Linked DNA regions of Macaca fascicularis. The protein of the gene in region 2 purifies or fractionates together with the protein of the main gene of each other region. This does not show direct contact. Links are inferred from orthologs where the notes say so. Each region holds a gene or a part of one and is shown on either strand. Other genes may lie near its edges.

Region 1 (3,819 bases), on a different chromosome or scaffold from region 2:
AATTAGAAGTCTTAATGAGGAAGTATTACTTGAAAAAAAAAATCCTGATGGGTTTACAATTTTTCAAAAATGACAAAAGGGCCAGGCATGGTGGCTCATGTCTATAATCCCAGCACTTTGGGAGACCAAAGTAGGAGGATTCCTTGAAGCCAGGGGTTCGAGACCAGCCTGGGCAACAAAGTGAAACCCTATCTTTACAAAAAATTTAAAAAAATTAGCCGGGTGTGGTGGTGTGCTTGTCCCAGCTACTCAGGAGGCTGAGGTGAGAGGATCACTTGAACCAGGGAAGTCAAGGCTGCAGTGAGCCATGACAGCACCACTGCACTCTAGTCTGGGTGACAGAGTGAGATTCTAACTTGGGGGTGGGGAGTTGGTGCAAAATTGCTGTTTTTACCATTGAAAGTAATGGTAAAATCCATAATTACTTTTGAACCAATCTAATACATCTGAAGGGAATTTACTTTTCTCATCTCTCACGACATGTGCCTTTGGTGACTAGAACTGCCCTACTCAACCTTTGGATCCAAAGCATACTCAGCCTCAGATCAGATTGGAAATTGTTTTTCCTACTCTTGAGCCTCTTGGGTTAACTGTTCCTGTCCCCTAAAATCAAAGGGGCACGGCAGGCTCTTGATCCACCTGCATTCAGCGGGCTCTGCACACACCTTGGCATCCTGCTCTGCAAACTTCTTGAACATGTTGGCGTATATCCTGCGGTCCCGCTCGTTGTGCTCCTTGGCCTTTTTCTGGCACATGGAGATCTGCAGTCTTGCAGCCTTATTCTGGGGGTTTACTTCCAGCACTTTCTCAAAGTCACCCTTGGCTGACTCAAACTCGTTCATGAGCAGCTGGGCTTCACCCCTCCTATACAAGCCTTTCTCATTGGCACTGTCCAGTCCAAGGGCCTAGGAATAGATGGTTTATATTTTAGAAAGGATGAATTTTAATAAATTCAGCAAACAGCTTACCAAAGTTCTCTTGCCAAAGGAGATGGAAAAAGTGTATTTAAAAAATGGGGCTCAAGATAATTATATACTACTGATCAAAATTTACTACCCAAATTATTTTCTGCATTTAATGCAATTTCTAGAAAGATACCAAGGAGATTTGAGAGGGGGCTCTTGAGAAGTTCATTTTAAAGTTCATTGGAACAAGTAAGTGCCCAAGAATGGCTGAAAAAAAATGGGAAAAAAGAAAAAACTAAGAGGCATTGTCCTACCAGAGAAAAAGACAAACTTTAAAACTACTGAAATTAAGACTGTGTGGTTACTAGTATGTGGACAAACAGCTCAGTGAAACAGAACGAATCATTCAGAAACAGTCACGTGTCTGCATATAAAAACGTTTGAAAATGACAAGGGTGGTAATATGAATCAGTGGAGAGTTAACTTTAAAATAAATGGGGCCAGGACAGCAGCTATCCACGTAGAAAATAAGAGTTAAGGCTGAGTGCAGTAGCTCATGCCTGTAATCCCAGTACTTTGGGAGGCTGAAGCAGGTGGATCACCTGAGGTAAGGAGTTCAAGACCAGCCTGGCCAACATGGCGAAATCTTGTCTCTGTTGAAAATACAAAAATTAGCCAGGCATGGTGGCACGCGACTGTAATCCCAGCTAGTTGGGAGGCCGAGGCAGAATTGCTTGAACCAGGGAGGTGGAGGTTGGAGTGGGCCGAGATCATGCCACTGCACTCCAGCGTGGGTGACAGAGTAAGACTCTGTCTCCAAAAAAAAAAGTTAAATTCTAACCTCATATTGTAAGCATAAAAATAAATTCTAGATCAATCATATTTACATATAAAAAACCATAAAATGTTTCTATTGTTTTTTATTTTAAGATATTTAAAATCTAATTATTATTTTTTTGAGGCAGAGTCTCACTCTGTCGCCCCGGCTGGAGGGCAGTGCCTCAATCGCAGCTCACTGCAGCCTCTACCTCCTGGGCTCAGGCAATCCTCTCGCCTTAGCCTCCGAAAGTCTGGGGGTTACAGGTCACAGGTGTAAACCACTGTGCCTGGCCTCAGTTATTTTTATAATCTTGGTGTGGGGAAGTCTTTTCTAACTAGAAAGGAGAAGATAAATTTGACTACATAAACATTAAAACCTTCTTTAAAGAGAATGATATAATCAACAAAGCTAAAAGAAAATTGCTGGGGTGTGGTGGCTCACACCTGTAATCCCAGCACTTTGGGAAGCTGAGGCGGCAAATCACCTGAGGTCAGGAGTTCGAGACCAGCCGGGCCAACATGGTGAAACGCTGTCTCTACTAAAAATACAAAAACTAGCCAGGCGTGGTGGTGGGCATCTGTGGTCCCAGCTACTTGGGAGGCTGAGGCAGGAGAATCGCTTGAACTCGGGAGGTGGAGGCTGCAGTGAGCCAAGATTGTGCCATTGCACTCCAGCCTGGGTAACAGAGAAAGACTCCATCTCCAAAAGAAAAAAAAAAAAAAAAAGGAGAACAGGCTTCCTATTGCCAAAAATAGGGTTAACAGTGATGCTATATGACTGCTTCTGTCAATAGAAGACAGACAAATAATGTAGTCAAGGCTGTGCTGGGTGTGATACCTCACAACTTTAATCCCAGCTCTTTGGAAGACACCCATCTCTACAAAAATAAACTTAAAAATTAGCAGGGTGTAGTGGCATGCACTTGTAATCCCAGCTACTCAGGAGGCTGAGGTGGGAGGACAGCTTGGGCCTGAGAGTTTGAGGCTATAGTGCATTATGTTCATGTCTATGAATAGCCACTGCACACCAGCCTGGGCAAAATAGCAACACCTTGTCTCTAAAACAGAAACAAAACACACACACACTCTCTCTCCACTGTGTATGAAAAAAATGAAAAAATATGTATAAAATTAATAACCGGTCTTGGGAGACAGGATACGATAGGAAACACTGATCCACAAAATTAAAAAATAATCTCACAAAGAATGTACAAAATAGTTGCCTTGTTTTTCTTTTCCTTTTATGTCTACCTTTAAGATACATCCAATGATTAGTTTTTACTTTTACCCACAGTATAATATACACTGTTCACCCTGAGACCAGATACCTAAAATAGTATCAGCTGGTGTATATCAGAATGACACATAACGATACAGATGATAAACCATTGTTATTACTGTGTGTAAGTACTCAAAGACCAAAGAGAGTATTAATAAGACAAATGTAAAAATGAAAAGGCTGCTGATGCTCTGTGGACCTTTCAAATTATTTATGCATATCAGTGAATAAATGATTATAATAAAAATTGACCTACATATATGCTTTATATGAACAGTTGCAGTCTGTTAAAGTCCAGAAAAGCTTAAGTTAAATCTGCTCTTATTAAACTGAACCTGAGAAGTTATACATCTACTCTGATATATATACTACAGTTATAAGGAAGGTCACGGATAAAATTATTTAATTTTAATCAAAATTTTTCTTCAGAATGCATTATGACAAACAGTCCTAGGTATCATAAAAGTCTGGCTATAATAAAAATCTTGCTCAATTTCCCAATTCATACTGAGAAACAAATAATCCCAAACATTCAAATAAACAAAACAAAATGAAAAATCCTTCAATCTTTGGCTGAGAGGAAGCAAAAGACAGAGATGGAGAAAAGATCTGGAATATCTCAAGTCTATCTCACAGGAGACACGGCGTTACCTTGTCACAGCATTCGACAGCTTTGGTGTATTCTCTAAGCTTCAGGTAGCACATGGCCAGGTTCAGAAAGGCAGCAAGCAGAAATGATTCAGAAGCTTTTGATTCCTTTTCTGATAAACCATATTCCATCTCTAACCAGGATACTATCTTCCCATACTGAATCAC
Region 2 (4,495 bases):
GGGAGGCTGAGTCAGGAGAATGGCGTGAACCTGCGAGGCAGAGCTTGCAGTGGAGCTTGCAGTGAGCCGAGACGGCGCCACTGCACTCCAGCCTGGGCAACAAAGCGAGACTCCATCTCAAAAAAAAAAAAGGCAGCACAAATATAAGAAAAGATAGATTAAGGAAACATGATTTTTTAAAAAGATTAGAACAGAAACAATTTCAAGTAGTCATGAGATCTAATATGTAATCACGGCAGCATTTCAAACCATCAGAGAAAAGAAAATCTAGTAAATGGAGCTGGGATGATTGTGAATATACAATATAAATTCCCAATATATAAAAGAGTTAAATGAAAAAGAAAACATACAGTAACTAGAAGAAAAGATGAGTGAATTCTGTGTAAACTTTGGGCTAGAAAGGTCTGTTTGTGTGGGACAAAGTCAGAACTCAGAAGGGAAGATCAGAAGTGTTCATGGTACCCATGTATCCAAGTATGTTCCAGGGTGCCCCAGATCTGAGCCATCTTGAAACAGTTACCATGGCCAAACTGATATGAGGAACCTTAGAATAAAATCAAATGTGGTCTTTTATTGCAGATATTCTCAGCATTAAAAAAAGTTAATATACACCATGACTAAAACAGATTAAGAAAGTATAAAGGGCCAGGGCAGGAGAATCGCTTGAACCCAGGAGGTGGAGGTTGCAGTGATCTGAGATCGTGCCACTGCACTCCCTGAGTGACAGAGTGAGATTCCATTTCAAAATAAATAAATAGATAAATAATAAAATAAAATAAAATTGTATGTCCCCTACAATCTTGTTTTAACAAGTAAAAATAATAATAACAGCATAAATACTAAGATAAATAATGAATATTTAGTCTCGTAGTAGTTATATAAAATTTTTCTTTTTTCTTTTTTTTGTTTTTGGCCAGTTAAATGAAGCAGTGGGAGTGGAGAAGGAACAAAGAAATCTGTAGCTGGTTGTGATCAAGTAGTAAATACCACTGCACTTGGATCAGCTATATTTTTAAAATTAATATTTAACCACTATTGAGCCATTATTTTTATCTATTGGAGTAACATAAAGAAAAAACGACCTTCCAACTTTCCCACCTTGACTAAAAGACAAGGGAATTCATGGATCTTTTATATATATTTAACAAAGTTTGTTGTTTACCAAAATTAGTACTTAGCTTTTGGATAAGCAGTATTTTTATTCTCCAGACATTTTGTATATTTTGCAAGTATAAAAAATCTAGGATTCATCATCTTTTGCATGTACCATAATTTGCAGAAACCAACTCCAATTTCTTCTATAAAGGCCAGGTGGAGGAATGAAGCAGCAAACTCCAGGTTGCCATTACAAACCTCTGTCATTGTGATTTAGGGAGGGATATAAAAAACCTGTTAGAGACGCTTTACCAACTGTGCCTCCCACCGGCCTGAAGAGTGGTAATTGTTCTTTGGGTCAGTAGTAGAGAATGTCTATTTTCTTTGAATTCTCTGAATTGAATGCAAGAAGGGAAAGGCTGATAAACATTTAAGTGGGCTGATTTTTATTAGGGCAGGGCAGGTTTGTTTTTCTTTCAAGGCTGTTTAAGTCATCATGTCTCTCTCCCTGTCGGCCATGGTGTCTTGCCCAGGTCCTGAGTGCTATGAACCTCTATGATGTCTCACCTGGCTTTATAATGTGAATTAAGGGGGCAGGACCCTTATCTCTAAAGTGTATCCCAGCTATGTGTCACTCACCTGCTAATCCCCTTGTAAACTGTAGCATAAGAGCCTTCACCCAGCTTCTCCAAGTTCAAGTAAGATGAGGCTGCTCCAAAAGGGAGGCTCTTCCTCTGCTTTAGGGGAATGGGGAAAAGGAGTGAGTGAAAGGGAAGAGAGAAAGAGCACTTTTTTTTAGTGTTGACTTTTTTCTCCAGGGAAATTAGACAGCATTTCCAGAGCAGACTTGGGAAGGCTCGCTCAGTAATTGCCCTGGACATAAGGGCCGGCCTCCCTAGACAAGCACACATTAAATTCTTCTTGATCAACATCAGCTGCTCACTCACCCACTGAAAACTCTGCCTCAGATCCTCTTCCTGAAAAGAATCACTGTTACTCCGTGGCCTTTTACTCTTGAACTTCTGGGCACGGACATCCTGACGTCCCCTGGGGTGAAATGAAGTCATGGAACATGATGCTTCTTTTAGGTCTGTTAGCTAGAGAAAAAAGAAAGAGCAGAAATATAATTTATGCAAAGTAAAGATTCAGTGCCTGGTAAAACAATTTTTTCTTTATTTGCCTCATTTTCACTCTTCACATGTTTTCTAAGCTTCCTGTACCCCCAAAAGGCACTTTTCTTGAAAAATCCCCGAAAAAGACCACAATGGTATCAACTCCTGAAATACTACATTCTTTCTTCACCTAAAAATATGTCTTTAACATTTAGGTTAACCTAAATCTCTTTGATGGATGTTTTCCAACTTTTTTCTGTTTAACTCTGGCTTTTTTTTTTTTCCTGTCCACTTAATTTATTGCTGTGGGGGAATAATCTACTACTGCATTGCTAATAATCATGAACTAATTACTAAAGTTTCGAATCCATAGCATATCAACTAATACTGCAGCTTGCCTTTTAAATCTCAGCTCTGTAATTTAGGACCTTAGAGATTTCGAGAGAACTACTTCAAGCCAAGTGAGTTTCGTGCAACCCAAAGCCAAGGATTATTTTTCCCTTTTGGTTTACAAGAAATTCTCCAAATTTGATAACTACAGCCATAAATTTTCTGTGACTTTAATAGAATTTTCATTTTATTGGTTTAGACCTACCGCAGAAGAATCAGACCCTGCTACAAAAAGGGAGTGTCTGAACTCCTTGGTTTATCAATAGAGAAAGATGCTCTCCTCCTGGGATACAAATACCTTGAACGCAGCCTCCATGGTCTCAGGCTGACTCCTCCGACAGCTGTGTGCCTCGCCTCCCTCTGAACAACGATAGCAGCTGCATCCAGGCTGTACAGTCTTTGCACACAGCTCTTGACCCATAATCTTCTAGGTTCAAGGAGAAAACCCGCACTTGAACCTTTCCCCCACTGCCTCTCCTATCCTTGTTCTCTCCCTTTTTGCCAGAGGTCAGCAGTGTGGAGCTTTCATATGACTCACATGATGACTCTGCCTGGAGCAGCCTCACAACTTCAGCAGTTTTTCCTTATCAGTGCAAGAAACTCCACATCAGACAGGGATTGCTTGCATTCAGATGTGCACAACTGAAAACGAGGCAGCTGCTATTGAATAGAATAAAATTTGGCACAGTTAAGGTTCTTGTTCTGGCCACAAGTTAGTGCTATTGGTATACATAGTTTTTAGGGATTGACATTGCTCATCAATGTAATGATATTTATATGATATCATTGATAGTGATATTGATATTAGGTTTTCCTGGTGCTAAAGTGGACATGTTGAAGACTATTTTTCTCCCTGCCTTTTATCTGAAAGCATTTTGGTTTTCAGACTTTAAAACAAATTTTCTACGTAGCTAACTTTTAGTAGTCATAGAAACCACAGAATCATAAGACAGGAAAAAAGTTGAAGATATCTACTCTATCTCTTTGCCTTCAAACAACAGTGTATCCAATAGTCTTAGAAGGGTTGCCATTCATTCATTTATTCAAAAACTATGTGGTGAGTGCCTGTGTTGTTCTTAACTATACAAATGATGATATTAGCCAATGGTGATGGAGAGAGAGGAGTTTGAATGAAATACTTTCTTCTTTTCTTGCTTCCTTACACATATATGTAATTAATGTTTACTATATGTAAAGTACTATAATAATAGCACGACATGTCAAGGAACCTGGCTCAAATTGGTTTGCAGTCTGTAGTCTTCAAATGCAACATTTTTCTCTGTTAGATTCCTAAGATTATTGCCACTATAATGTACTAATCATAGAGTGAGACAGAATGGAGGATATATAAACATTCAATCATTATTAAGGGAAAAAATAAGAGTCATGTCTATCATCACAACAATATTTACGAATATTTGATATTTGAACCTCATGATGGTTTTTTAAAATGTTCAGGTAATTTAATTATGAGCATGTATTTTTTCATTTCAAAATTGCCACAAGAGACTTAAGTCAATTCTAAGATTCAATCTAGAGATATTTTGTGGAAAAAAAAAAAAAAAGAAAAGGAACAATACTTGGCTCAAAGACCATTAAACTTGTTTTATCTTTTTTTTTTTTTTGAGATGGAGTCTCTCTCTGTCGCCCAGGCTGGAGTGCAGTGGCGCGATCTCAGCTCACTGCAACGTCCACCTCCGGGGTTCACGCCATTCTCCTGCCTCAGCCTCCTGAGTAGCTGGGACTACAGGCGCCCGGCACTGCGCCTGGCTAATTTTTTGTATTTTTAGTAGAGATGAGGTTTCACCATGTTAGCCAGGATGGTCTTGATCTCCTGACCTCGTGATCCACCCACCTTGGCCTCCCAAAGTGCTGGGATTACAGGCCTGAGCCACCGC

Evidence for each region.
Region 1: the proteins of CDK15 (region 2) and FKBP5 purify together in Homo sapiens (affinity purification with mass spectrometry; 3 studies listed by BioGRID and IntAct, counting the BioPlex papers as one, with this or other methods). This does not show direct contact. The link is inferred for Macaca fascicularis from reciprocal best matches to the Homo sapiens genes CDK15 and FKBP5.

The regions. Positions count from the first base shown.
Region 1 is NC_088378.1:136,110,674-136,114,492, reverse strand, and holds part of FKBP5 (peptidyl-prolyl cis-trans isomerase FKBP5), read right to left. Parts: coding exon 3,655-3,819; intron 906-3,654; coding exon 666-905; intron 1-665. UniProt on the Homo sapiens protein: Immunophilin protein with PPIase and co-chaperone activities. Component of unligated steroid receptors heterocomplexes through interaction with heat-shock protein 90 (HSP90).
Region 2 is NC_088386.1:97,625,008-97,629,502, reverse strand, and holds the start of CDK15 (cyclin-dependent kinase 15), read right to left. Parts: upstream 3,101-4,495; 5' UTR 3,019-3,100; coding exon 2,896-3,018; intron 2,193-2,895; coding exon 2,043-2,192; intron 1,833-2,042; coding exon 1,735-1,832; intron 1-1,734. UniProt on the Homo sapiens protein: Serine/threonine-protein kinase that acts like an antiapoptotic protein that counters TRAIL/TNFSF10-induced apoptosis by inducing phosphorylation of BIRC5 at 'Thr-34'.